Stegostoma tigrinum: one gene and its partners. The protein of the gene in region 4 purifies or fractionates together with the protein of the main gene of each other region. This does not show direct contact. Links are inferred from orthologs where the notes say so. Each region holds a gene or a part of one and is shown on either strand. Other genes may lie near its edges. The genes, in order: map3k7, eif2ak2, pias1b and chuk.

Evidence for each region.
Region 1: the proteins of chuk (region 4) and map3k7 purify together in Homo sapiens (affinity purification with western blotting; 9 studies listed by BioGRID and IntAct, with this or other methods). This does not show direct contact. The link is inferred for Stegostoma tigrinum from reciprocal best matches to the Homo sapiens genes CHUK and MAP3K7.
Region 2: the proteins of chuk (region 4) and eif2ak2 purify together in Homo sapiens (affinity purification with western blotting; 3 studies listed by BioGRID). This does not show direct contact. The link is inferred for Stegostoma tigrinum from reciprocal best matches to the Homo sapiens genes CHUK and EIF2AK2.
Region 3: the proteins of chuk (region 4) and pias1b purify together in Homo sapiens (affinity purification with western blotting; 3 studies listed by BioGRID). This does not show direct contact. The link is inferred for Stegostoma tigrinum from reciprocal best matches to the Homo sapiens genes CHUK and PIAS1.

The regions. Positions count from the first base shown.
Region 1 is NC_081357.1:54,993,323-55,001,291, reverse strand, and holds the start of map3k7 (mitogen-activated protein kinase kinase kinase 7), read right to left. Parts: upstream 3,004-7,969; 5' UTR 2,717-3,003; coding exon 2,642-2,716; intron 1-2,641. UniProt on the Homo sapiens protein: Serine/threonine kinase which acts as an essential component of the MAP kinase signal transduction pathway. Plays an important role in the cascades of cellular responses evoked by changes in the environment.
Region 2 is NC_081357.1:95,093,083-95,100,114, forward strand, and holds the start of eif2ak2 (interferon-induced, double-stranded RNA-activated protein kinase), read left to right. Parts: upstream 1-4,009; 5' UTR 4,010-4,263; intron 4,264-7,032.
Region 3 is NC_081386.1:29,954,557-29,962,495, forward strand, and holds the start of pias1b (E3 SUMO-protein ligase PIAS1), read right to left. Parts: upstream 3,013-7,939; 5' UTR 3,003-3,012; coding exon 2,964-3,002; intron 1-2,963. UniProt on the Homo sapiens protein: Functions as an E3-type small ubiquitin-like modifier (SUMO) ligase, stabilizing the interaction between UBE2I and the substrate, and as a SUMO-tethering factor. Catalyzes sumoylation of various proteins, such as CEBPB, MRE11, MTA1, PTK2 and PML.
Region 4 is NC_081390.1:13,732,541-13,739,529, reverse strand, and holds the start of chuk (inhibitor of nuclear factor kappa-B kinase subunit alpha), read right to left. Parts: upstream 3,017-6,989; 5' UTR 2,838-3,016; intron 2,228-2,837; 5' UTR 2,176-2,227; intron 1-2,175.

The DNA of each region.
Region 1 (7,969 bases), on a different chromosome or scaffold from region 4:
AGTCTGGTGAACATTCCTTGCATTTCTTCTATGCCAAATATATCTTTTCCACTAACTGAAATCAAAACTGTACACAATACTCCAGGTGTGGTCTCAGGAAGGCTCTATAAAACAATCATGGTAACACTTACTCCTGCAATCAAATCAACTATCATTAAAGGCCAGCATTCTACTTGCCTTCTTAAATGCTTGCAGCATTTGCATGTTAGCTTTCAATTACCTAAGGACAAGGACAGCCAGACTCCTTTAGACATTAACGCTTCTAAATCTCTCACCATTTATTAAATGTTCTGCATTTCTCTTTCCTACCAAAGTGGATACTTTCATGGTTTTTTCACATTATATCTCATTTACCATATTTTTGCTCACTTACTTAGCTTTTCCAAATCTGCTTGAAGCGTCTCAAGTCACATTCCCACCTAGTTTCAGGCTGATGTGTGTAGCACATGGGATGTATAAGTTACTAGATTTACTTTAACATTTTAAGGATAATTCAAAGAATCATTCAATGGTTGCAGCACAGAAGGAGGTCATTGGGCCTGTCATGTCTCGAGCAACTCTACACAAAAAAATTAAACTTGTATTACTCCACTGCCTGCTCCTTTCAGTGCTGCAAATTTCTGCTCTTCAGATAGTGATCCAAAGCTATTGTGCAAGTTGAATGTGCTAATCAAGAAAATCTGGAATTGTTCTTGCTCTTGAAATCACCTCTTTAAACAATGTTCTCTTTTCCAATTATTAACAGGAGGAAGCTCCTGCACAATTTGTTTATATTTCCCTCCAACATGACATTGATCAAAAGTATTTCGTCATTTATGTCATCCTTGGAGAATAATTTCATTGGAGAGAGAACATCAAATGAAGCTTCAATATCAAGTTTAAGGTCTTCATTTGTTACTTTAACAAAAAGGCTTTACAAGCTCATGGAAGTTTGGACACTGAACAATTCAATATATTCTAAAATTGAATATGTGAAGACAAGATCGATCATATTTTTAATCCACAGCATCTGCTCAATTAACTCCAATCATTTGATTGATTTTGTAACCATCCTCTCAGTCAGTTTACTTGTACAGGTTTCTTTACTGGATCACAGTTAGGAACAAGACAGATGACAGCCCAGGGATTCCTGCTTCTTTGACTGCATTGCAGGGACCTCTGCTGGAAGCCCACAATGGTTAATTATTGGATTGGGCTCTGCAGTCAAATTCTACTGCCACTGTTTTCAGTCTTAATTACATCAAAATGGTTTGAAACATTTAGAATTTTAGGATAGTTTTTCTTAATTCATGCTGGTTGTAAATTTTAAGTAAAATCAAATTCATTGCATACTTTCAAAGGTACAAATGAAATTCTCACAATGTCCAGTGTCACAAAATGTAGTGGCTAAGTGGCAGTATCCCAAATCTGTGCCAGATTCAAGTCCCACTTGTTCCAGGGCTGTGTATAACATCTCTCAACAGGTTGTTTTTTTTAAAAATACCTTGAACTGGATTCTCATTGACTTGAGATAGTATAATATACAATACAACATAGAAACAGATCTTTCATCCTAAGAGTCAGTTACTTTTTATTTAATTCTATGCTAATTTAAATACCAAAGTAACTGAAATCCACATTCACCTATCACAATATAGTAGATAAGTGCACATCATGCTCACTTAAAATAGTCACATTCATCTGTACAATGGATTAGAACAAAAGAATTTGTTGGTTGACTAAAAGGGAGATGTTAATGCAATCTCTACAGTTACAGCAATATTGCAATCGCATTTTCAAAAAAAGAAAGCCAAATCTGAAACAGTTACATTGTTAAAAATGGAAGGCTGAAGATCCATCAAAATTTGGCATAGCTTTCTTCATTATGCAATGGGAAGTCATTTCTCCCCCACAAAAAGTTAATTATCTACACTAAAGATTAGTTGGTAATCTACAAGTTCACCAAAAACATCAACCTTCAGAATCCTGGAAAATCAACAGGAGCAAATGTTATAGCCTGGTAGTTCCTTACTGCAAGTGCATATATTAGCAGCAAGTTAGACAGAATTTAAACTTTTACTTTAGACACCAAGTTGCTGGGGAAGAAATGAAATCAGTTTGCCATAACGAGGAAAGTATTCAAATAATTTCTGATCATGTTTATACAGAGTTTATAAACAAAAGCTTTCAAGAAAAACAAGGAATATAAATAAATAAGTATAAGTATATCCCAGTTAAACAATTCAAATTTTGTAGCCACTCTTTTCCGAACTGTCTTACGTTGGGGGCGGGGTACTAGGATGCACAAACGACTAAAGTTCTCGTTCAAATTTAAAAAAAACTCAAAAAACAATAAAACTCTCCACAATTCTCACATACTCCAATGCACCAGAGAGAGACAGTATGAGATTACCAGAAGACATCAGACAGCACGAGATGTACCCTTCACTAACGTGTTTACAATCCATCTAAATGATCTGGACTTTAACCCATTTCCTTATTCTCTTAAACAAAACGGACGAGACTGGGGGCAGGGTGTTGCGGGCAGGGCTCGCTCCCCTTCCCCACGCTGGGGCCTAATACTTGACTCTCTCCCCTGGTTTGGTGTCTCCCCCAAAAGCAACAACACCCCACCCCCCCCCAACCCCGGCTCTTGCCTCACCTCCTCCACATCAATCTCATTGTAGTCGATCTCCTCGAAGTGCAGCGGGGGGGTGTCGATGATCTCCGCCGACATCCCTACAGCCGGCAGTGGGGGGCGGTCAACCCCAGGCCCCTGGCGCAAGCCGCCGGGCCGCCCGCCGCACTCGGCCTCTCGAATTCGCCGCCGGTGTCAGGAGCGGAGTTCGCCGAGGCCGGGCCGCGATTCCTGCAGCGCTCCGCTCCCACCAGCTTCGTCCGGCATTTCCGGGGTTAATCCCAGCCCGCAAACATCCGGGGAAAAGCGGCTTGCCGCCGGAACTGACGCTCTACACGAACGCAGGGATAACTAGTGGCAGAGACACACGGGCGATCCAGAGAAACCGCCGTCCCCAGGGAGGACGGATGGGTGGGGCGGAGTACTGGCAACGGTAAAAGAGCTTCCTACTACGCCTGCGTGACCTACTCGCCATTCCAACATCCGCGCCTGCGCAGCACTGCTTGGAATCGCTGCGCGTGAATTTTAAATTTGAAAGTTTTTTTTATAACCGGCGAAGCCGGAACTTGATTTAAAGCGACCTTTTCCTCACCGGCTGTCAGCATCGTTTCAAATGAGGACTCCGATGAACCCGGACTGTGAGCACAAACTCTGCTTCTCTCTCCAGACGCTGCCGGATCTGAGGAACGGTCACTGGACCCGAAACGTTAACTCTTGTTTTATTTTCCGTTCACAGATGCTGTCAGACCTGCTGAGCTTTTACAGCAGCTTCTGTTCTTGCTGCTGTGGGATCTGCCGAGTACCTCCAGCAATTTCTGTTTTTGTTGTTACGATCTCCAGCGGCCTTAGTTATTTGTTTTGTCGCATAATCGTTTTGCACTTACTGCACCAGCTCATTCGTTTCGCCGAGGAACTTTTCACTTCAAACTGAATAAACGGCCATCAGTTGCCGTGGTGAAAGTGAACATTTTATTCCAGCAAAACGTCTGAGTTTCGGTGGTGGAGTGACTGAATGTTTGTGGATATGGTGCCAATCCCTAGCGGGCTGCCTTGGCGTGGCTACTAGTTGAGTGTTGTTGGAGCTGAACCCATTCACAGACAAGTGGGGAGTACCCTGTCATACCCCTGACTTGTAAATGATGGACAGGGCTCTGGGAGGTTTGCAGGTGAATTACTTGCTGCAGGTTTCCTCCCATCTGACCTGCTGTTAAGGCCACAGTATGAATAGTTCAGTTCAGTTCCCGGTTAAGAAAACAGCAGGACATTGATTGGAGATCACAAAGTGCAGAGCTGAATGAAAACAGCAGGCCAAGCAGCATCAGAGGAGCAGGAAGGCTGACGTTTTGGGCCTAGACCCTTCTTCAGATATTGGTTGGCGTGGGCATTGGTGGCCTGGTAAGATAATGCCATCAAATGTCAAAGGGAAGTTCTTACTCAGTTGTTTGAAATGGTTGTTGCCTGGCACTTTTGTTGTATGAATGCAACTTACCATTTATTAGCTCAAGCCAGCAAGGCTTGGGAATTGTGATCAGAGATAATGGGAACTGCAGATGCTGAAGAATCCAAGATAATAAAATGTGAGGCTGGATGAACGCAACAGGCCGAGCAGCATCTCGGGAGCACAAAAGCTGATGTTTCGGGTCTAGACCCTTCATCAGAGAGGGGGATGGGGACAGGGTTCTGGAATAAATAGGAAGGGGGGGGTGGACCGAAGATGGAGAGAAAAGAAGATAGGTGGGGAGGTAGGGAGGGGATAGGTCAGTCCAGGGAAGATGGACAAGTCAAGGAGGTGGGATGAGGTTAGTAGGTAGGAAATGGAGGTGCGGCTTGAGGTGGGAGGAAGGGATAGGTGAGAGGAAAAACAGGTTAGGGAGGCAGGGACAAGCTGGGCTGGTTTTGGGATGCAGTGGCGGGGGACGAGCTGGGTTGGTTTTGGGATGCAGTGGGGGTAGGGGTGATTTTGAAGCTTGTGAAGTCCACATTGATACCATTGGGCTGCAGGGTTCCCAAGCGGAATATGAGTTGCTATTCCTGCAACCTTCGGGTGGCATCATTGTGGCACTGCAGGAGGCTCATGATGGACATGTCATCTGAGGAATGGGAGGGGGAGTTAAACTGGTTCGCAACTGGGAGGTGCAGTTGATTGTTGCGAACCGAGCGGAGGTGTTCTGCAAAGCGGTCCCCAAGCCTCCGCTTGGTTTCCCCAATGTAGAGGAAGCTGCACCGGGTACAGTGGATACAGTATACCACATTGGCAGATGTGCAGGTGAACATCTGCTTAATATGGAAAGTCATCTTGGGGCCTAGGAAGGGGGTGAGGGAGGAGGTGTAGGGGCAAGTGTAGCACTTGCCTCCCTAACCTGTTCTTCATCTCACCTATCCCTTCCTCCCACCTCAAGCCGCACCTCCATTTCCTACCTACTAACCTCATCCTGCCTCCTTGACCTGTCCCCTCCCCACCTATACTCTCCTCTCCACCTATCTCCTTTTCTCTCCATCTTTGGTCCTCCTCCCCCTCTCTCCCTATTTATTCCAGAACCCTCTCCCCATCCCCCTCTCTGATGAAGGGTCTAGGCCTGAAAAATAAGCTTTTGTGCTCCTGAAATGCTGCTTGGCCAGCTGTGTTCATCCAGCTCCACACTTTGTTATCAAGGCTTAGGAATTAGATTCTCAACAATCACCTGCAGAAAAGTACAGTAACCCTAAACGTCAGCTTTCCTGTTCCTCTGCTGCTTGACCTGCTGTGTTTATCCAGCTCTACGCCTTGTTATCTGAGTAAAATTGCAAGTCACCTTTTACAAATACTGGACTTCTCAGAGTTCTTACTAGTCAATGCAGTAGTTTTCCAACTGTAGAAACTCTGTGAAGTAGGAAACAAGGTGATGATCACTGTACAGTTAACTCAAAAAATGTGATAGTAACCAAATAACCTTTCTGTGATGTTGACGATAAATCAAATATTATCTAAAATACTTTTGATAGTACAGATTGGAGTATCTTAATTTCTATGCTCAAGCTCTGGAGTGGGACTTGAGTCCAGAACCTTACAGCCTAAGAGGCAAGAGAATTACCCTTTGAGCCAAGGCCAATTGGCATCTTGAACATGTACAGTACAATGTTATGGGGATGTCATGGGTTCTAACCATTTTGCTTGAGTATTGGAAAAATGTCTGGGAATGTAACAGAGAAGTCTCATCTCTACCTTCTGCATTTTCTTTCTGGCTAGCCAGTGATGAAATGGATTCGGACATGCTTTCCCAGGGTAGCAATGAAGCTGGGTTGATGCCAGGCTGACAGGCTCAAATGCAGACTTCCATTTATTGTGATATCGGTCCTGTGTTAATGATCAATGTTAGGTACTTAAGCCTTCATGTCGTACTGTCCACCCACTACATGCCACCTCTATAACCCCTCAGATTCCTTATTCTTTTCATATCATCTATAGTCCAGAGTCCCTCCATGTTCTTCAAGTTTCCCTTGCTTTGTCACACTTCCCATATGTCTCAAGTATCCTCCGGAGGCATTCACCCAGTACACACCACGGAAACAGCTCAGGATCTTAAAAAAAAAACTCAACAATCCAATTTCACTTGAAAATCTTCTCTTCCTCTGTGGAGTTACTCCACCTTTATAATCAAAAAATATGGAATTAGCACATTATCAGTGGTAAGGATGCTTCCCATAACAGTGGAAATAAAAAAGGGGAAAAAAGAAAAAAACTTACCTTTCCAAAAAATTAGATCCCTTCAGGCAGTCAATTGATTGTCGGAATAAACATCACTTCCACTATCCCATCAAAGATAGATAAGCCCTCAATATTTTCTCACAACTGGCCGTCATGCGTATACAGCTGAAATAGTGGTTCATAACCTTTTGAAACAGCCCAAGCATTCATCACAGGCTCAGATGGAATAAAAATCCCTGTGAATAATTAACAGTCGAGTCTGTTGCAACTAGAAAAAACCTAGATGACTGTTTCGTTCTGAATTACACCAGATGTCCCGCCAGTCACCACAGCCTAGGAACGTCTAAAGCAGATAAATACTACAGTGCAGAAGGCGGCTGTTGGGCCATTCACATCTGCATCAGCTCTTAAAATGAGCACCATTTACATCTCCTACTTTTTCCTCATATTCTTGCACATAATTGTGCAATGTCTTTTTGAGTGTCTCAATTGAACGTGCTTCCATGAGGCTTCAAGGCAGTATAGCTACTTTTGCAAATCATTTTAAATCTGTGCCGTCTCATTCTTGTTTCTTTTATGAGTGGGAACACTTTCTCCCTGTCCACTCTATTTAGCCTGCTTATGATTTTGCAAACTTCTATCAGATCTAAAGAGAACCGTCTCGCATCTTCAATCTATTCTCAAGCAAGTGAAGTAGGACTTTTTGTCTCTATAATTGAAAGCTGCAGGTTTTGCGCCCTGTTATTGAAAGGCATATAAAATCCAGCCTACAGCTTTTGGTTGTCACATATGCATGTGAAAAAATTTCATACATAGCTCTATGGAAAAAATGTCTTGGTGAAGAATAATCATTGTCCAGTGGAACACATGCGAGAAAAATAATCAGAGTTCCTGCAGGACTCCAAAGGTTATCCTTGAGGCTTGAGAGTCATCACTTCACTCTGAAATACAAGTCAGGAAGATAAATAGTGATTAGCAGATGTCCTATCTCTGTTGCCACCACAGGAGAAGCATGAAATAAAACATCTAGATATAAAAATCTATCACCTAATGAACATAGTAACAAGGAAACTGAGTCAATTTAGTTATCAATGAAGACAAAATGTTCTGGAAGATCTCTCAGCAAGTGATTCAGGGATATCTGTTTAGTTGATGCAAACACATGCAGTAATACTGCTGCATTGGTCTGTCAGTGTTGATGTCTCATTAGAAATTGACATTCCTCAGCCACATCCACCTAAAATGATTCACAAAGAGCTTCTATAAAAGATATGTGATGATCACCTGTGAGAGGAGAAGTGTAAGCTTGGAGCCAGATCAGTTGTATACTGAGTGGGCATCTATGAAGACATTGAATGAATGAATGAAAGAGCACCGTGCGGAGCTGGAGGAACACAGCAAACCGGGCAGCATCAGAGGAGCAGAAAAGCTAATGTTTCGGGTCAGGACCCTTCAGAAATGGGGGAAAGGAAGGGAACTGGGAAATAAACAGAGAGAGGGGTGGGGCTAGGCAAGGTAGGTGGGATGGTGATTTGTGAATGCAGGTGTGGATTCGTGGGGGTTGGTCAGTGGGATAGATGGGAAAGAAGATGGAAAGGTATCAGGTCAAGGAGGTGGGGATGAGAGGGAGGGTTGGATATGAGATGAGGCTGGAGGTGGGGAGATTT
Region 2 (7,032 bases), on a different chromosome or scaffold from region 4:
CATCGTACCTAGGACCCCCCCACCAAATGCCTGCACTTCCCATGGCCATCCCAGCTCACCTGCACACCTTTGGATTGTGCGAGGAAACCCACACAGACATGAGGAAAAAACTTGTAACCGCTACACAGTCGCCTGAGGCTGGATTGAGCTCAAGACTCTGGCATTGTGAGGTAGCAGTGCCAACCACCGAGCCACTGTGATTTTCCCCTGGAATACTGCAAGCTGTTTTTGGTTCCCTTTATCTAAGGAAAGCTATACTGATACTAGAAGCCATCAGAGAAGGTTCACTAGACTGATTCTGGGAATGAAAAAACTGTCTTACGAGTAGAGGTTGGATAGGTTCGGCCTGTATTTGTTAAAATATAGAAGAATGAGAGGTGACCTTTTTGAAACATACGTGATTCTTATGGGACTGGACAACATTGTACATGTGGAAAGGTTCATTTCCTCTTGTGGAAGACTCTAGTTCTAGAAGGCATAATCTCCAAGCAAGAGGTTAAACATTCAAGAAACAGGTATGGGGGAATTTATTCTGAGTGTAGTGAATATGTGGAATTCTTTATCTCAGATGGCTTTAGAAGCTAGGTTGTTTCCCGTAAGCAAAAAAAAACTAAAATCAATTCTTATAACTGAAAGCAAGCTGAATAGTCTTGAATGTTCACTCTGTATTTGTAAACATCTCACCAATGCAAACACATTGCCGTTATCAGCCCTGATCGTGTCTCATATACACACTCATTTTAGAAAAAGATTCCAGAGATATTGAGAAGTTGTTGATAATGGACAAACTAGCAATGTGAAGAAATTCCCACTCTTTTGAGATTGCAGAGACATCAAGGTAGGAGGTATTCAGTCTCCCGGCCCATCCACTCCCTCTCATATGACCGATTACATCCTTTTTTCTTCATTTAACTTTTGAATCAAATTCACTTTTTCTTCTTTCTGTGGGGGTGTATTTAGAGAGAGGTTGCAGGGAGCTGTTGAGTGGTGGATCCAGTCCATTCCTCGTGGCCATGGTAGTAATTGTTTCAGCAACTGTTCCAGCGTTGATGGGTTGGGGCCGGTTCTTTTCCTTTGGTGTTTTGGCAGCATCTGCAATTGCGGCAGAGTGAATGATCCTTTGATCCTGGGGAGTTCATTTGGATGGTGTGTCGGTCCTTGGAAGCTGAGAATGGACAGCAGTCTGTGAAAGTTGGGACAGTCTCCTGGCTATGGCGGCAGCTGGAGTATCAGTGATGATCAGGTACCTTTGGCAGAGATGGTGTTGGGTCAGCAGGGGGTTACTTCAGTGTGCTTCCTCCTTGGTGTTGCAGCCTCATGGACAGTTTTGACACCTGCAGAGTAAGGCACATCAGGTAGTCACTTGTGAATTCAAGAAGCCATTGTTGGAACAAAAACATGAAATTTGTCTTGACTTAGTATGTATTATTTCTTTTTTATAATTTATGTAATTAAAATGGTGCCAGATTAATTATGATGACTTAGGCATGTTTTGGCAGTATTTTTCATAAATACATGTAACAGTAAATTACTATGATAATAATATTATATTTGCTACTACCCAATACCCAATGATCTACACATGACCACACTGTTTTGATTTGATGTATTGTCACATGTACCTAAGTACAGTGAAAAGCTTTGTTTGTGAGCAGTACAGGCTGATCATAGTAAGCAAGGGCATACAGATTATAGGGTGAAAAAGAAACTTTGACAGAGGAAGGTATACAGGTTACACTGCAAAGGCTGTGTGATAAGCAAGTTCAACATAAAACAAGACCAGCATTGTTTTAAGTTAGAGAGTCCATTCATTAGTCTATGTCGACTGTCTCCCTTTGTTTCTCAAGGTGGCATTTCAAAGATCTTTGTCAGCTGGTGGGTATCAATTTGCAATGGGTCAGTGATGATGCTTCTTGTGTCGCTAATCCTTCACATCTAACTTACCCGTTGTCATAAAGTGGACCAACACCTTCATCAATACTCTTCCTGACAGGAGGTGTCAGCTGAAGAGAAAATTAGTGGCATGTAGTTGGGATTCCATCCTTTGGAAAGGGGCACACATGGAACCAAAGAGACCTTGAAATATGAGATAACAAGGTGTAGAGCTGGATGAACAGTTACTAGTGGTGTACCGCAAGGGTCAGTGTTGGGCCCACTGCTGTTTGTCATTTTTATAAATGACCTGGATGAGGGCGTAGAAGGATGGGTTAGTAAATTTGCAGACAACACTAAGATCGGTGGAGTTGTGGATAGCGACGAAGGATGCTGTAGGTTGCAGAGAGACATAGATAAGCTGCAGAGCTGGGCTGAGAGGTGGCAAATGGAGTTTAATGCAGACAAGTGTGAGGTGATGCACTTTGGTAGGAGTAACCGGAATGCAAAGTACTGGGCTAATGGTAAGATTCTTAGTAGTGTAGATGAGCAGAGAGATCTCGGTGTCCATGTACACAGATCCTTGAAAGTTGACAGGGTTGTTAAGAAGGCATACAGTGTTTTAGTTTTTATTAATAGAGGGATCGAGTTCCGGAACCAAGAGGTTATGCTGCAGCTGTACAAAACTCTGGTGCGGCCGCACATGGAGTATTGCATACAGTTCTGGTCACCGCATTATAAGAACGATGTGGAAGCTTTGGAAAGGGTGCAGAGGAGATTTACGAGGATGTTGCCTGGTATGGAGAGAAGGTCTTACGAGGAAAGGCTGAGGGACTTGAGGCTGTTTTCATTAGAGAGAAGAAGGTTGAGAGGTGACTTAATTGAGACATATAAAATAATCAGAGGGTTAGATAGGGTGGATAGGGAGAGCCTTTTTCCTAGGATGGTGACGGCGAGCACAAGGGGGCATAGCTTTAAATTGAGGGGTGAAAGATATAGGACAGATGTCAGAGGTAGTTTTTTCACTCAGAGAGTAGTAAGGGAATGGAACGCTTTTTCTGCAACGGTAGTAGATTCGCCAACTTTAAGAACATTTAAGTCATGATTGGACAAGCATATGGACGTACATGGAATAGTGTGGGTTGGATGGGCTTCAGATCGGTATGACAGGTTGGCACAACATCGAGGGCTGAAGGGCCTGTACTGTGCTGTAACGTTCTATGTTCTATGTTCTAACACAGCAGGCCAAGCATCATCAGAGGAGCAGGAAAGCTGACAGTTTGGGCCTTGACCCTTCTTCAGAAATGTGTGAGGGGAAGGGGATTCTGAAATAAATAGGGAGAGACAGGGAGGCAGATACAAGATGGATAAAGGAGAATATAGGTGGAGAGGAGACAGACAAGTCAAAGAGGCAGGGATGGAGCCAGTAAAAATGAGTGTAGGTGGGGAGTTAGGAAGGGGATAGGTCAGTCCAGGGAGAACGGACAGGTGAAGGGGGCGGGGTTAGATTAGTGGGTAGGAGATGGGGATGGGGTTTGAGGTGGCAGGACGGACAGGTTAGGGTTGCGGTCGGTGGAGGGGAGATTCTGAAGCTTGTGAAGTCAACATTAATACCATTGGGCTGCAGGGTTCCCAAGCAGAATATGAGTTGCTTTTCCTGCAACTTCGTGTAGCATGATTATGGCACTGCAGGAGGCCCAGGATGGACATGTCGTCTGAGGAATGGGAGGGGGAGTTGAAATACTTTGCGACTGGGAGGTGCAGTTGTTTATTGCGAACCGAGCAGAGGTGTTCTGCAAAGCGGTCCCCAAGCCTCCGCTTGGTTTCCCCAATGTAGAGGATGCCACAACGACCTTGAAATAAAAACTGCATGGCCTCCAATAAAGGAGGGTGTGCACTTCATGGGATAGCAGATCAAGTTCCTTGCCAGTGAACACTATCCAGGAAGCAGCTTTTCCCCACAGAAAAGAAGTGGTGGAGGTGATGATTTTTGACACCCTGACTGGTAGTCCGCTGGGAAAAGCCACTCCCTATAAGTTTGGCATTGTGTCTGACACTTCCTTCAAACAAGTTCAGCCAGATGAATTCCAATGCCTCTTCCCCAAAAACTCATACTGTATTAAAACACGCTCCTTTCATTAAACACCCACTCTAAATCTACACCCTCCCTTGCATCCATCCCCCTTCATTCCGCTCCGTGTTTGCAATGTGAGCCACGCAGTGGTTCCAGCTCTGATCCTTAAAGGCCTCTCTCAGTAACGCTGCAGGAAAGCGAAAGTAAAAGGAGCGGAGGCCGAGAAACGAAACTCTCTTTCCGACTGAAGGAAGAGACAATTTGCGTTCACGGTCTCCACTGCGAGAGTCAAGAGATTGCTGCTGTGAGCGCTGACGGTGAGTTTTCCTGGGGCTCTGAACGCATTACAGAATAATGTTATATTACACACACCGGCCGAAGCTTTACGGGGCACGCACCGTGGGTTCGGCAGGGGTTGCAGTATGACTCAGCTTTCAAAAATCTTCTTACCGATTAGTTACTTGATGGTGAATATTGTTTTACTGTCACCTCCGTTACAGTGGACTCTGAGTCGCAGGTTAGGGATTTAAGTCTTTCCTTCAGAGACTGAGTACAGAATTAAGGCTGACACCATCACTGTTAGTCTCTCAGATGAGACATTAACCCGAGGCTGGACCGCTCTCCTAGTTGGAACAACTGGGAGATGTGTATCTTTTCACAACCCGTTACCGGTCCCTTGGCCTTCTGCAGCTTTGTAAATGTTATCGCTGTTACATAGGAACAGGGCCAGACCATCCCATGAGCGTATGCATGGTTTACTTCATATCCCTGCTTTTCCCCATCTTCCTTACATTTTCCTCAAAAATCTGTCAATTTCTGTCTCGTTTAAATCACTTTGTATCATTTCGATTGCCTGTTGCTGAAGATAATTTGAAATTTCTAAGGCCCTGTTGAAGAGTATCCTCATCCCTCTGCCGCAAGTCTAGCTCAGAGAGCCCCCTGTGCAGACAGAAGCAGAGTTAAAGTTTCAAATCCAGTGACCCTTTGTCAGAAGGATCATAATCTGAAGGGTCATTGGACTCAACTATTTGCTCTGCTTTCCTCTCTCTCTATACAGATACTGACAGATCTGCTGAGTTTCTCCAGCACTTGCTGCTCGTTTCAAATTTCCAGCATCTGCAGTACTTTTATTAAGCTGTTTTATGTTGTTTGTATTATTGCTTTTTTATTGCAGTCTTAAATAGAGAATTGAAGGAAAAGAAATTGATCTAATATATCTGTAGAAATAACCTATATATTTTCTACACTAAACATGTTCTTATCAAAATGATCCTGGCGTTTCAATGTGTTAACTGGAACATTTGATTGTAATGAAGGGAAATCCTTTATTAGTTTGTGAGTGTCTGAATTCTGCACATTCAGCAATGTTTCAATTATTGGTGGGGAGCATTAATTGACATCACATGAAAAGGGTGTGCTGATTGGCTGGCCAGATTATGAGCCCAATGAATCATCTTAAATTGGTTTTTAGCGTAATTGTTGTCACACTCAGGATTGTTTGTAACTGCTATCTAATCTTCTAAACCAGCCACATTCCTGTTCCATATAATACTACCTAGCTCCCTGACTCATTTCCTTGGGTGTAGAGGGACTAGTAAGGGGGAACAAAAATCTTGAGATCTCTTCAAATCTGATATTTTCTTTTATCTGAAATTTGATATGTCACAATGAGACCACAAGAAATTGGAACGGGGTAGATGATTCAATCTGTTGAGTCTGTTGTGCCATTCAATGGGATTATGAGTAATGTCCCCTTGGGTAATTTTCCTCATGTCTGCTTTCCTGTCTTTTCCCTCTAATCCTTGATTCCGCTACTGATGAAGAAACTATCTCAGCCTCAAATTTTCATAAGGACTCCGTCCACACAACTCTGTGTGGCAAGGAGTTCCAAAGATTCTCAACCCTCTGAGAGTTTGAGGGTGAAATATTGGCCAGGATATTGCACTGCATTTCATGACGTTCTTTACATTGTGTGTATAGGATCTTTTATGTCCACTCAAGCAGGTAGACACTTGAAGGTCTGATTGAAAACATAAGAACTGTGATAGCACACCTTGGATGTGACAGCCTCGAAGATACACTCACCTCTCAGTATGTGGATTGAACTCTCGGCCTTTGGAATAAATTTAACTCTGGGTTTAAAATCCATGTTTAGCCTTTGCTTTGCCCTAGAGCCAAGTCAGGCCAGGAAAATACTTTGCAGGATGCCTAGCTTGTAGCGTGAATGAATTTTAAAGAATATTGCACGAGAACTGATTTATCTTTCCAAATCAAGGCATTAGTAAATACATTTCCCTGTATTTTACACAAACAAATACTCCTACCAGGACTCCTAACAGCTGTAATGAGTTTTATAAGAAGTGTTTGGAAAAGTGGTGCATCCAGTTTACAATTGCCTGTTGCCATCTATGTAAGGGAGATGATTTAGATTTGGATGAAAATTTGCAGTGGGCAATATTGGATCTGCTGCCTGTTGTACATGACTCCTAGTTTCATTTCCTGTGGAAGTCACAAGGAAGTCTGATATTAATACTTCACTTCTTTGTAATGACAATTCTTGGTTGGTGAGAAAGAGACAGTCTGTCAAAACCTTTTGTCTCGCAGTCATCAGAACAGACACAAGAATTCCAAAGTTTAATGGTGGGGAGCACTAAATGACATCACATATGAAAGAAATACTGATTGGCAGATTGTGAGCCCAATGGAGCATCTTAAATTGGTTTTTGCATAATTGTTGTCACACTCAGGATTGTTCAGTAACAGATATCAAAACAGGGATTTATATGTATCATTGGAACATTACATTCTGTGTTTTACAAACATTTTGTGAGTTGAGCATGTCCAGTACTCTGCCTACTGCAAGGGAATGTGATGTTTAATACAACTCAACAGTCATTGGGATATGGGGCCCAGATATGTTAGCATTACACCGGCACTGAAATTCACATAACTGCATTACTCATTTGTGTGTCATGAAGAAAGCAGCACAAGCATCTGTATGGAAAACCATGTTCCTGTCTTGATTGCAATCCTATTAATGGAAAATATCAGTTATAGTATTACTTCATAATAGTAGCATATAATAA
Region 3 (7,939 bases), on a different chromosome or scaffold from region 4:
TGTACTGACATGTTGGGTTCTTCTATCATTGAGGATGGGGCTATTTGTGGAGCCTCCTTCAGTGAGTTGTTTAATTGTCCACCACTATTCATGAGTAGATGTGGCAGGACTGCAGTGCTTAGATCTGACCCATTGGTTATGGGATCAATGAGCTCTGTCTATCACTGGTATGCTGTTTGGCTTGCAATTAGTCCTGTTTACTTGCTCCACCAGGTTGACCTTGTCTTTAGGTATACCTGTTCTGTTCCTGGCATGCCCTCCTGCACTCTCCATTGAACCAGGGTTGATCCCCTGGCTTGATGGTAATGGTCAAGAGCGGAATATGCCAGGCCATGAGGTTGTAGATTGTGGAGTACAATTCTGCTGTTGATGGTTCACAGCACCTCATGGATGCCTAGTCTTGAACTGCTCGATCTGTTTGAAGTCTGTCCCATTTACCACAGTGATTGTGTGGTGTTCACTCCTAAAGATACTATCAATGATAGATATGTTGGCAATCAACAGATTGTGAAGGATGACATCAAATATGTTTCTCCCATCAACAACTGCTGGATACCAGTTTAGTAGCTACGTCACCCGACCAACTTGATCAGTAACACTGCTGTCGAAACACTCTTAGTGGCAGACACGGATTCCCCCATCCAGAGTACATTTTGCACCCTTGCCATGCTCAGTGCTTCCTCCAAGTATTATTCAACATGTTGAACTGTGGAAGGTACAAATGTAAATAAAAAGTTTTCGGCTAATAAAGTAGACTCCAGTACAAGTACATTACTAGAGCATGCAGGATCTCACATGAAGTAACTATCAAAGCGCCAGTGACAGAAGTGAATCTCACCAAGCATCAACACAGCAGAGACTACACACACCACAATCACTTCTGGAATCACTAAATAGCACCATGCACAATCTCAGTCACTATCAAAATTAACCACATACACAATATCATGGGAGTTCAATTATAATCAACAACGGTAATAGCCTTGCAACCAGATTAAAGGAGTTATATACACCACACACAATTTGACATCTATAAGATTTTTTAAAAAATCAATTCTAAGGATATTAGTCCAATCATATGCAATTGATTGGGTCAGTCATAGAACCATACAGCACAGAAAACAGAACCTTTGGTCCAACTCGTTCATGCCAAGTTTCCCAAACACAGAACTCGTCCTATTTGCTTGCATTGCACTCTTTTCCCCAAATCTTTCCTATTTATGTACCTGCCCAAATGTCTTTTAAATGTTGTAAGTGCACTTGCATCGACCAGTTCCTCTGGCAGATTATTCCACATATGAAAAAGTTGCCCTCGGGTCCCTTTTAAATCTTTCTTCTCACCGTAAAAAATGCCCTCCAGTTTTGAACTTCTCTAGTCGGAGGAAAAGACCTTTGCTACTCACCTTATTTAGGCCCTCATGATTTTATAAAACTCTAAGCTCAACCCTCAATTATCTACATTGGATGTAATTTCACTATACCACCATTTCTTTGCCTAATTCGCATTCTACAACAAAAGTAACGGCTGCTGGGCTTTCTACAGAATAACACCAAATGAGTACATCAGAGAGTTTTATTTTACATAATGGGTCACAAAAACATGCCACTCACCATCCACACTTAAAAAAACATGAAATTAGTCAACTATCTTTTTCAATTAAGCAGTCAAAATTATCTAAAATCTGACAGTTAATGAAACACTGTGTAGGCACTGCTCAACAGTTCTACAAAGGTTACACAGATCAACCATATAGCTTACTGAGGTACCATGAGAATTTCTTGCAACGCCCATAACACCAAGCCACTCATTATGTTGCTACTGTAATGTGTTTGTGTCTCAGATCCTCGGAAGGTTACTGCATCTCAATAAAACCTGACATTGAGTCCAAATGGTTTTCATAGCTTAACCAAAATATCAACTTCAAGGCCTGAAAATTAAACATTTGAATTAATTTGCTACCTCAAAATCAATCTCATAGCATCTATACAATTAAAAACCTCCCAATCAAATTAGTAATATCTCACCTGTTGTGTTTTGGAATATTTCAACACTTACAAAATATTTTATAAATATTTATGCATCATTAATATAAGCAAAACAGAAGAGAGAATTGAAAAGAAGCATCATTTGTATCCAAGGACAGAATTTGGAGCAGTGAGTAACAGGCATATGATTACCATTTTTAATTAGTAAATTTCCACTAACCAATGCAGCGGTTAAGCCTCTGCCCATATTACGGAATATCTCAGTTGTAACATCTATAAAACTGGTGCCCACAGCATCTGCAATTCCTACAAATTCAATTTCAACAACACAACGCCAAAATGTTATTATTGCAGGTCACGTTTTGTATGAGAAATGCAACTTACAAAATCTAAGTTTAAGCTCATGGAACGTACTCTATCTTTTTCCGCTTCATCACAGACCATATTCATTTCTGTTTGACTGTAAACATTACATCTCAAAAACAAATCAGCAAATTTCAACAAAGTGCAGTACACAGATAGTGTACAGACAGGGAAGGTTCAGCAAAGATGTGAATTTGATTCCTGAAATTCATTTTGAAAACTGGAGATAGAATTAATTGGGGTTGAAAATAAAGAAATTATTAGGTGGTTTTGTTTAGCATACAGTTGATTTCAGAATATCATGGATCATCTCACCTGTAGTGGCAGAATTTGTCGCACCTGCCAACACATGAGCTGAGATTTCAGTGCGGGGTGATGGATATGAATCAGACTAAAACGTCCTCTGTGAATTAGAAGGTCTTAATCAGAAGATTCCTTTTTAGCTTGGTGGTTATGATCATCCGATTGAGCAAGAAAAGGCCTCAAAGAAGAATTGCATAAATTTTATAGTGTTGAGCTAATACAGTATAGCAGACACACAAGCATTGCCATTTTCACTTGCAACTTTCTGCAGGGTTCCACTCCGAAAAAACAAAGTGTTGCTCTTCTCTTACCAGGTAATAATTCTCTGCTACAGGAAAGTGATTTCCCATCAATGTTTCTTTTCCTGTACAGAAAAGGTGGTTATTTCACTGTGTAACACTATTGAGCGTAGCATACACCAGATAATGAGTTAGCACAAAATTACTGCAGTTTTGTGGAAATTAACTGTGTAAAAACCATACCATTAAAGACATTAGGCAAGATTAGACCATCTACAGAAATACAACAATGCATGGACAAGGTAACTGAGAATAAAATCTCAATTCCATTTCAAATTAATGCTCATGTCATGCACTCCTGAAGACACCTACAAGGGGTCTTGATAGAAAACGGTTCTACAGCCACTGGCTATGTGCAGTGGTTGAGATGCTCTTCGTCATTACCTCACTCTCTATCTGAACAGTCTGCAACTTCCCATTCTCAGGAGTATCTGTTTTGTACATCCAGCATCTGCCATGACTTCTGCAAACTGTCCCAAAGTGAGATCAAAAATGTTTTTTCCAAGCCCAAAGGAATTCCAGAATCCTCCGACAGCCTAACAGACGATCTACTTTGTTGACTCAAACTCTCCCAATGTAAACAAAATCCTATACTATCCAGAAAGTTTGAAAACTGCTTTAAAATAAATCACTATGGGTACAGAAATACTTTAATATTAGTCATAAACACTTGTAGGTAAACAGATCAAAATCTACATCACTAGCTGAAATCCAAACTCTAAAATGAATATTAAAATATACATAATCTCACACTTTACATCAGAAGCCAATTAACACGTATCTATGCCTCATGGTTTATTAATCCCGAAACCATAAAAAACTCCATCAGCTTCTGAAATAAATTCAATTTAAATTTTTACTATCCATGCTTCAGTTTGCATTGAGTTAGAATGGTAGTTCCTGGCAACAAGCTGAGAGCGTGGGGATATTACATACAAAGTATTACATACACCTGCAGAATGAAGGCTCACCACACGCAAAAATATACACCATTTCAGCCAATCTAATTGCTCAACTAATGGATAACGTACTTCTCTAATTTCCAGTCACAAATATAATTCTCAAAATAAGAAGTGCAATTGGAACCCCAGTGTCTGGTTTTAAATAAATGAAATTTTACTCTGTACTTCTGGTTTTAATAAATCCATAAAGAAAGCCAATTATGACCTACCATCCAGTCAGTTCACTATATAAATGATACAACAGTTAATATCAACAAGTATTCTCTCCTGCAAAACAGAATAGTTGTGCAAATTATTTCAACAACTGTGGGGGGAAAAGGTCTCATAATTATAGACAGGATGCATGTAATAATAGGAGAAGTATCAGTTGTTGATTCAAAAAAACTAAAATTAATAAACACATCTCATATCCCTTATTTTGAGACTGTGTCCCCAGTTTTAGACTCAAGGCAGCGGAAAAATCTAGTCTGATCGCATCTGTCAAGGTCTGTAAGAATTTTGTATGCTTCAATCAGATCACTTATTTTCCTGAATTCTAGAGAATACAGGCAGGCTTGCCTCAATCTCTTCTCATATCCTGCCATCCCAGGAATCAGTCAATAGCTGGAGTCCACGCAGTGATCCTTGCCACACCCCACCATTCACAGCCTGTCAAAGATCCTGCTAAGATTCTTCACTAACCAAATCTCAATCTATACCAGTAAATTATCCCCAATTCTACGCACACAAATTGCGCTAACCTTTTGTACAGATCCTTATTAAAGGCCTTCTGAAAATTGAAATGCACCACATCCACTTGTTCTCCTCTATCTATTCTGCTAATATCCACAAAGCTCCAATAGCTTTATCAAACATTTTTATGCAAGGAAAACATAATGACTCTGCCCAATCCTTCCATTATTTTGAAACGCCCAGTTACTGTTCTTTGTAACAGATTTTAGCATTTTCCCCAGTGATGTCACTCACCAGTGTAAGGAAACAATTCTGTTTCCTATCTCCTTCCTTTCTTAAATAGCAGGGTCTACCTTCCAATCAGCAGGAATCTTTCCAGAATCTATGAAGTAACAATGACCACCACATAATGCAACCACTATATCTACAGTCACCTCTCTCAATTCTGGGATATAATTTATATTTTAGTTAAGGTCTACCCAGCAACATTCACAAGTTTTTTTTATATTTGAAAAAAAAATCACCGTTGATCATCTTTTTGATCTCATTAAGATCTCTGCTACTTTGTTTTTCTTACCAACATCTATTACTTTCAGTCCCTCATGCTCACTAGTCCTTCAGTTCTCTTATTTTTGGGAACTTTTGTCTGCATTTTCTCTGCAAAGGCAGATCAAGTATTTGTTTAGTTTCTCTGCCCATTTACTTCCCAGATAGACAGACTATCCTGCTTCCGTGTCATGGGACATTTATCTTTGATGATCTTTTACTTTTTACATGATAAAAAGACAGTGACCTTTTTGGTTTCACACCAGTTTACTTCTATATTTCACTTTTCTTTTCTTCATTAGCTTATTGGTCGTCAATTGAATTTTAAAGTTCTCCTAATCCTCAAGCTTATTATTATTTTTTCAGTAACTTTACAAAGCCTCTTCCTTTGATCTAATATAATCTTTGAATTATTTTGTCAACCTCAATTGAATCACTTTTCCTATTGGGAGTTTTGAGCCTCAAAAGAATGCACATTTGTTGTAAGCAATGTATTAATTCTTTAAACACCTGTCTACAGCCATATCATTTAACTTTCCAGTGCAAATTGCTGCTCAAATCTAAATAAGGAACACTACAAAAGATAAAAATACTCCAAGTTCGACTGAACTACATCACTTTCAAACAACAAAGTTCTATCACAGTATGGTCACTATTCCCTAAAGGTCCCTTTGTAATAAATGCATAAGCCCTTTCTAGTTGCAAAGATCTAGCCCATTCTCTAGTTGGTTATTCAGCAAACTGTACCATCACATGTATATTCCAGGGATTATTTTCCACAGCATTGGAATTAATGAGGTTAATCCAGTCTACACGCAAATTGTTGTTTGCCATGATTACTATGTCTGAATGCACTCCTAATTTCCTGATTTATACCACACCCTACATTACCACTACCACTTGGTGGGCTCTTGTTTTTAGAAAGTCTCATGCAACCAAGGTTGACGTTCTTTCATTCCAATTTTGAGTCACATGGTAACTAAATAGTTCTATACTAGGACCACATATTCTGTCACAGATGGGACGGGTGCTGTTTGCTGAAGCAGGTGGTTTGGCTACTCAAGGATTTCACATTCTGCTGTGTACGTTGGTTTCTATTTGGACCGTTCGGAGAAGCTGAAAATGGATTGTTCCTTCCCCATTTCAGATGATCTTGGGCAAGCTATTTCCACAATTAGGTGGGATAATGTATTGCTTCATGAAATTTTGAGATCAGCACTGAAACATTTCCTCTTTCTTCTTGTCAATGAAACCCATAGTGGGGAGCTGATTTGGAGTCTTATCAGGCACATGGAAACCATGGTTCATCCAAAGCACCATAGTGACCAGAAACAGTATCTCCATTGCCAGGGATGCTGGCCCTTGTGAGAACACTGATACTGAATCACCTACCCTGCCATGAATTTGCAAGAATTTGTACAGGCATTGCTAGTGATTTCTCTTAGGCACTTGAGGGAGTCTCCTGCACATTGAACATGTCTCCAACACATGCAGAAGGGCTGATAACACTGCTGCTCTGTAGACAAGTGCTTTCCAAACTTCTTCCTGGTACAAGTCTATTTTAATGCCCCAGATGCCACATGTCCAAATTGAAAGTTGCAGGTGGGGCTTGTGATGCAAGATCGAGTGCACTGTGGCATGCTTAAAAATCAGGGCTCAAAGATACGACCATCAGGCTGTGCCAACTAATGAAGAAAAGATGAGAATTTAAGGGGCCTCACAGCAGTGAGTACTCAAGAGATAGTAGGAACTGCAGATGCTGGAGAATCCGAGATAACAACGTGTAGAGCTGAATGAACACAGCAGGCCAAGCAGCAGAGGTGCAGGAAGGCAGACATTTCAGGCCTACAGCCATCTTCAGAAATGGGGAAAGGGAAGGGGATCCTGAAATAAATAGGGAGAGAGGGGGTGGCGAATAGAAGATGGATAAAGGAAAAGATAGGTGGAGAAGAAACAGACAGGTCAAAAAGGCGGGGGTGGAGCCAATAAAGGTGAGTGTAGGTGTGGAGTTAGGGGCCAGGGGATAGGTCAGTCCAGGAAGGACGGACAGGTCAAAGGGACAGGATGAGGCTGGTAGGGAGAAGGAGGTGGGGCTTGGAGGTGAGAGGAGGGAATAGTTGGAAGGAAGGACAGGTTAGTGAGGCAGGGTCAAGCTGGGCTGGTTTTGGGATGTTGTCAGAAGATGGGAGATTTTGAAGCTTATGAAGTCCACGTTGATACAGTTGGACTGCAGGGTTCCCAAGTGAAATATGAGGTGCTGTTCCACAACCTTCGAGTAGCATCGTTGTGGCAATGCAGGAGGGTCAGGATGGACATATTGTCTGAGGAGTTGGGGGGGGGGGAGGGGGAGGGGGGGGGTGGGAAGAAGAGGGAAGAGGGGAGTTGAAATGGTTCATGACTGGGAGGTGCAGTTGTTTGTTGCGAACAGAGCATAGGTGTTCCACAAAGCGGTCCCCAAGCCCCCGCTTGGTTTCCCCGATGTACAGGCAGCCACATCAGGAACAGCAGATGCAGTATACTAGGTTAGCTGATGTGCAATTGAACATCTCTGTTTGATGAGGAAGGTCTTCTTGGGGCCTGGGATGGGAGTGAGGGAGGTGTAGCACTTCCTGCAGTTGTGGGAAAAGTCCCAGGGGTGGTGGGGAGTGTGGAGCAGACAAGGGAGTCATGGAGAGTGTGGTCCCTCCGGAAAGCAGATAAGGGTGGGGAGGGAAAAATGTCTTTGGTAGTGGGGTCAGATTGCAGATGGCAGAAGTGCTGGAGGATGATGCGCTGGAAGTGGAGGTTGGTGGGACAGTATGCGAGGAC
Region 4 (6,989 bases):
AACCAATAGTTTGGATTAGGTTGATGTATTTGCCTCTCTATACATAGGATACTGTCATTGACCTGACTTTTCATGGAGAGACAGAGTTTTTTCAAGCAAGTGGTTTGCACCAAAATTCCACCAATACAACCAAACCTGCTTGATTTTTTATTTCTGGATACAGGCCAATGGACATTTGCTTGCATTCTCATGCAACTGTAGATAATTCAGCCACATTTAGTGAGGGAAGTTGCACTCTGTAAAGTTTAGAAGGGCTTTCATGTTTGCAAAAACTCAGCTTAAAAGTTTCTTTTCTCTTGAACCCCTTTGCACACAAACAAACACAAAACCTTGCTGTTAATGTTTCCTTGGTCATGTAAAGTTTGGCTATGAAGTTCTTATTTATTATTTCAATTTTTGTTGCATTTTACTCATCCACAGTACAAAAGAACAAATTTATGTTTGGTTAGTCAGTGTTAATTGTATTAAGTTTTGAGAAGTATGTCCAAATTAATTTGAGTATCACCATATGTAATTTTTGCCACATGCCAGATTAGACAGTATTTTAGAACAATGGTGATTTCTTCTATACTTGAAAGAATTCTTGATGCAAGAATGGCAACCTTGTGTAATTTGATTAACTGAGCTAAAATTATTTCACAAAAAAACTTATGCATTTTAATCATCCACAAACTAGTGATAACCCAATTTTAAGTAACTGAAAAGTATCTTAAAAGGCTGTATAAAATCATATGTCCAGTCATCAATTTCCCAGTAAATAGTAAAGGAAAAAGGTTAGAGCTTGATAGGAATGCTATTTCCAATCTTCTGCCTAATTTTATAGCCTTCTGAATGCATGCAACTTGCTGAAACTTGCAACTGTGATTAATTCAACATAACAGCATGGCTGTCTTATAAAGATGCTACTATTTCAGTTACAACAATAGATCAAGGAAATGGGAGTTACTCTGAACACAATTTAGACTTAAAATTCAACTACATTTTTATGTTGGCTTTAATTTGCCAATCAGCACTCTGCTCATGCAGTAAAAATGGAATTTTCCCTTCAAACTTGTATTTTTGTTAAATGTCCTGACCCAGCACAAGACTAAAAGTTTGACAAAATGTTTATTTTCAGCAAAGAAATCCTGCACTCAAACAATTAAATTGAAGATCAATACATTTTCCGAGGAAAGGTAATCGTATATAGTGACATGACTGGATGGAGGCAAGACAGAGATCAGCCATGAACTCACTGAAAGACTTGAGGGGTTGAATGGCAAACTCCCGTTCTTAAGTCCTGATAATGATAATAATAACATTATAATAACCAAGAAGGCACCTTCTGCTACATTTTCAGAGCCTTCAGTACATTTCCTGTTCAAACCATCTCTGAATTTATCTAATACATCCACTATGTCATATTGCTTGTTGGAGGACATAATTTGCACCAAATGTGACCTGGGTTTTTCCTTTGTAAATTTGAATATGAATGCATTACTTTTTCAAATCATTAAAGACAAAATGTGGGAAAAAACATAACTAAATGTAACCTGTAATTATAACAATTACTTTATTGAATCTCTACATAAACCTCACAAGAGCAAGAACATTTACAAAATTAAACTACAATATTAAAAAGGTGCAAAACCCAAGTCAGAAAGATATCATTTATTAACTTGTTCATCCCACTTCTTTCAATTACTAATAAATGTCACTTTTTGATGTATAAATTTAAAGGGTACATTGGACAATGCTTATACATTTACATATGAACATTAGGTTTTGTTGTGAAAATCTAAGCTATAATATATACTCCAAAGTCTTCAAATTTCAAATTTTGGTGCTTCCTTGCATAATGTGGAATTATTAGAATTAGAACTTTTCTTATCATCCTGCCCACAAACAGACATTATAACCTGTATATACTTGCTTTTATAGGACTCCATTACAATTATAAAAGTGCTGTAGATAGAGATAGCATTTAGGAGCAAAGGAGAAAAATCAATCACTGCTGCAGTGTTTTAAATGCCTCCTGTGGTCTCAAGGAATAAGAAGTGGACTTTTCTTGAAGCTACTGTCTGCCTCCCCTTGACATGGTTTGGACATCAGGCTTAAGACCTTTTCCAACATCGTGAAAACATACAAAATTTGCCTAAGTAGAGGAAAGAACTGGAAGGGTGCTCTTGACTATACCTTTTCACTTCATGATAATGGCATTCTTCGGTGTCTTTGACAACTGCAGCAACTAGAAAAAGCAGTACAGATCATAAGGCAATATAAATCAGGTGCATGCCCGACCATTTTGATCTTTGCTGTGATTATTTTTTGGCTCCAAATTCAAAAATTAGCAGATTCTTGTCTCAAAAATCTCTGAAAGAAAAATCATCCCCAACCTCCTTTAAGGAGGTGATCCAGTTTCAAAAATTTGACATGCCACTCAATCTAATGGACGAGCTGTAAACTAATCATTCGAATACCATACTGAAGTACTGATTAAAAATAAATGCCAGGATCTAATAAAACCAAGGGAAACCTGCCCATTTTAGCTAACATAAATCGACCTTAGGCCAAGTCCTGGCAAAAAGTTGATGGCATGACTATGACATCATACACACTAGTCTCAAAATAACCAGAAAATCTAAAAACATTTTTAAGAGAACCAAGAACAACAGAAAAATAAAAGTCTGCCATAAAAGTATGTTATCCAAACTATTTTCGCAAAGACACATTTTCCAATGTCATCAACTGATGCTCAACCGATTACAGACGCAAGTCATTCACGGCACAGTGACACTTTAGGCCTTAGTTTAAGGGAACTCCAACAGTCAAACCGGGGACTCCTTTACGAATCCTACCTTGCAGCCGAAAGCTAACCGAAGGAATCGCTTCCTGGAGGCAGAAATGATTAAACTGCGATGCGGAAAAACAAATAAAAACACGTTAGAAGTGATCACACTTTGCTTCTTTCATCAATCTTGATCAGAGACATTTCCCGCAACTGCGACACACAAGCGCGCCCGCGGGACGCCGGGAGTTGTAGTTCTTTCTCGATAAGACGCTACGCCTGGGCTTAGTGTGAAACCCCGCCCCCATGGCCTGGAGGGCCAGCCTCCGCAATGATTGACAGCTAGGTGTGTCGCGGACCTGGGGCGTGGGTGGCATCTTTTCACGTGCTCTCGCGGGAGAGTTGTGCATGGGGTGAAGTAACAAACTTCTCAACCCGAAAGCAAAAGTAAACAGACTGAGTGCTGATCAGCCTTTCCCACTTATAATTTGCTAGAAATCTGAAATTTTTAAATGTGTTTTGGAGAAACTTGATTAGTCTGGCAGCATCTATCATGTCCGTTTCAAGCACCGGCTGAGGTTACTATGAAGGACCCTCCTCCTCCAACTTGTCTCTTCACCTGAAAGGTGATGACCCTCAGGTTAAACCAACACCAGTCACTCCGTCGAATGACTAAACCTATGTGACTTTCTTCAGAACGTTTGCATTTTAATAGCTCCTTTCACGACTCCTGAAATGCCATCGTTCTTTATCATGAAGCACTGGTTCTTTTTATGTGTTGTCAACTGCTGTAATTAAGGAAACATGGCCACCAACTTCTTCACAGCAAGCTGCCACAAACATTCATGTAATAATGACCACATAATTTGCTTTACTGATAATGCTTGAGGGATCTATTGACCACGGACCATGGGAGTTTAACTTTCCAGAACCTTTCACACTTGCTCTAAATACTTTCAAGAGACCTACACCCCAAATGCAGTACATTTGCTACAGCGGATGAAGAAGGCTGCTCTCTATTGCTTCAACAGGCTCTAACATCCTGTGAAAGAATTTTTAAAACCTCCCCTTTGTTTTGTGGTCTGCTGCTTTGCAGCCAAGCTGTTACATGGAACATTGTGACTCATGAGCCAACATAACCTGAATTATCTTTGCAGTTGGAGATATTGCAGTGATTTTACAGCAGTGGCCAATGTTGTGGGACTATAAATAGAAAGCTATGCATGGCACAATTTCAAAATTTGTAGACAGCAAAAGACTTGGAAATGTTGTGAAATTTACAATTGGTCATGGGATGTGGCTGTCCAGGACACCATCCCAAATTTCTCTGAAGAAGGTGCTTATGAGCTGCCTTCTTGGACAACTGCATTCCTTGAAGTACAGGAACATCCACATTGCTGTTAGGATTGGAATTCCAGTATTTTGACTCAGTGACAATTAAGTAACAGCAATATAGCTTGGAGGAGAACTTACAGGTGGTGGTGTTCACATGCATCTATTGCCCTCATGATTACACAAATTAACTTTAAAAGTTTAAAGTATGACCTAACCAATGTACTTTAAACTGCATTTTGGATGCAATATAAGAGTCTCTGCAATTGTATGAAATGTTTGAGGATGAAAAAGAACGATCATTTCCTGGACATACCACAAATAAAAATTTACACTTCACATTGCTTCTCTACAATCTTTGAGCAATCCCTTTGTCTTTTTCCCTGTGATACCCTTCCCATCCTCTCCCTTTGCTCCTCTTTCCCCTTTTTTTCCAATGCATAAAATCATTTTTCCAGCTGCCCTCAATTCTGAAGAAGGCATTGTGAACTCTATATTAACTCTGTTTCTCTCTCCACAGACATCACCAGACCCGCTGATATTATCCAACATCTTACCCTTTTACTTCTATCGTATTATTTGTGTAGAATCAACTAGGTATAAACCATACTCCAGTGTTCCTAACCACTGTATTCTATTTATACAGTATATTTTGCTTTTGTAATGGTAAGTGGTACTTGTCTAAAATTGTTGTACAATATCTGGAAAGCATTTCACACCAGGAAGCATTGTTTTTGTTGATTACTGTAATAAATAGGTATTTTAGGACTCAGACAGTCTATGTTTAACTGCTGAAATTGTATACTAAAAATACTCTTGTCCATTTTGAATGTGTGGAGTAAATATTGTGTAGATTTCTTTTACTCAGTTTGTAGATATCAAGCTGAAAATCTGAAGATTATTGTAAAAAGTAACAAAATGACATATTTTCCACAAGTTATAATCACAGAACTTGCAAGTTTTGAGAAGATTTATAGCTCAGGTTGAGGTTCTGGATGTGAGTTTGCTCACTGAGCTGGAAGGTTAGTTTTCAGACGTTTCGTCACCATTCTAGATAACATCATCAGTGAGCCTCTGATGAAGCCGAAACTCACATCCAGAATCACAGAACTGGATAAACTAATGCATTTTTCTTATTGTCACATTGTTATACTCATTCCTTTTTTTTTCCAAGTTACAGGTAGCATAACCTCTCACATATTGCCTGCTTTCATGCAGCTGAGCTTCATATATCCATGGAGATGAGAATGCAACATTCCGATGAGAAATTCAAATTTGGTTTCAGCTACCCACTCAATCCCTTCTCTTTGACATTTCCTCAGGTTAACACTACATTTACATATGTAAGAATTACTGCACTTTTACCAGGATATGGAAGTTGTGATATGAGTTTGGACATAGTTAAGTGCTGAGATTTATGTAGATTCTCTCTAGCATTAGGTTTCGCCACTTCCCTCACGAGGTGGGAACTGTTCTTGCGCCTAGGCTGTAACCAAAATTGGTAAAATGTAATAGTGTTTGCTCCTATGATTAAATACAGGAAAGGTTTACTTAGAAGACAACATTTCCTCAACTTGAGCCAAAAAGATTTTATGTTACTGTCACTGATACAATTAAACCAGTACAATGCGAACTTATAATCTGCTGTTAGCCCAGATCCTGAAAACTTGTTTGAGATAAATTTTCTTTTGCTTTAAGTATCTTGGAAAAATAAACATATTTTAAAATTTCAGGTTTATACGCTTTCTACAACTCATGTGTGGGAGAATGATTAATCACCCAAATTGGGCGCGGTACTTCAATTTGTCTTCATAACAAAGTACTCATTTTGGTTAAATCTTGCCACACCTTTGTATTGGTTTGACTGAGCCCAGTCTGCAATCTAACCAAGATCTGCTGACTCCATACTGCAACTAGTAGATTTGGTCTTGGACATGTTACTGTAACTTTACTATGGTCCTTTGTGAATATGGTTTATACTTACTTACTAATCCCCAAATATGTACTCTCCTTTCTATGGAGACCGTGTGTCTGTATGTTGCTTCTATTCTGATTCCCAAGACAACAATAAAGTACTTATTCTAATATTTATTTCTGAAGTTTCAATATTATTTTATGAAGCTAAAAATATTATATGATGCAAATTACCCGAAAGACTATCTTGTAAAAACAACCTAGAGTCATGAAAACTTTTGAAGTAATAATAAATTTCAAGCACATCATGCTGTCACAGACTCACATTGGTTGTAAATGGCAAATGCTCTTATAACTAGAGAAAAATTCAACTGCTGAGTTTCAGATATATAGTACTCTAAAGCTTTTCACAGATGAAGTGCAGTGTGATGGAATGGATTTACTGTACATTTAGTGAGTCAAAGCAAATGGGCGATGGGGGTGGGAGGTCTTTTTGTTTTTGTTTTATCTCTGTCAGTTGCAAAGACCCCACCATTTACTACCCATCAGTTTTGGTGTTCTTACTTGAGAAAGGATGTACTGGCACCAGAAGGGTTGCAGAGGAGCTTCACTAGGTTGATTCTGGAGTTGAGAAGGTTGGCTTATAAGGAGGGATTGAATAGCCTGGGACTAGCTCACTGGAATTTAGAAGAATTAGAAACATTTAAATTATGAAGGGAATAGATGAGATAGAGGCAGGGAGGCTGTTCCCACTGGTGGGTGAAACCTAGGACAGGGGGCAAGCTTCAAAATGAGGGGCAGATTTAGGACTGAGATGATGAGGAACTTCTTCTCCCAAAGTTTGTGAATCTGTGGAACTCCCTGCCCAGTTAAGCAGTTGAGACTATCTTGTTGAATGTTTTGAAAGCAAAGATTGATTTTTGAACAGTAAAGGAATTAAAGGTTATGATGTGCGGTGGGTGGGTGGAACTGACCT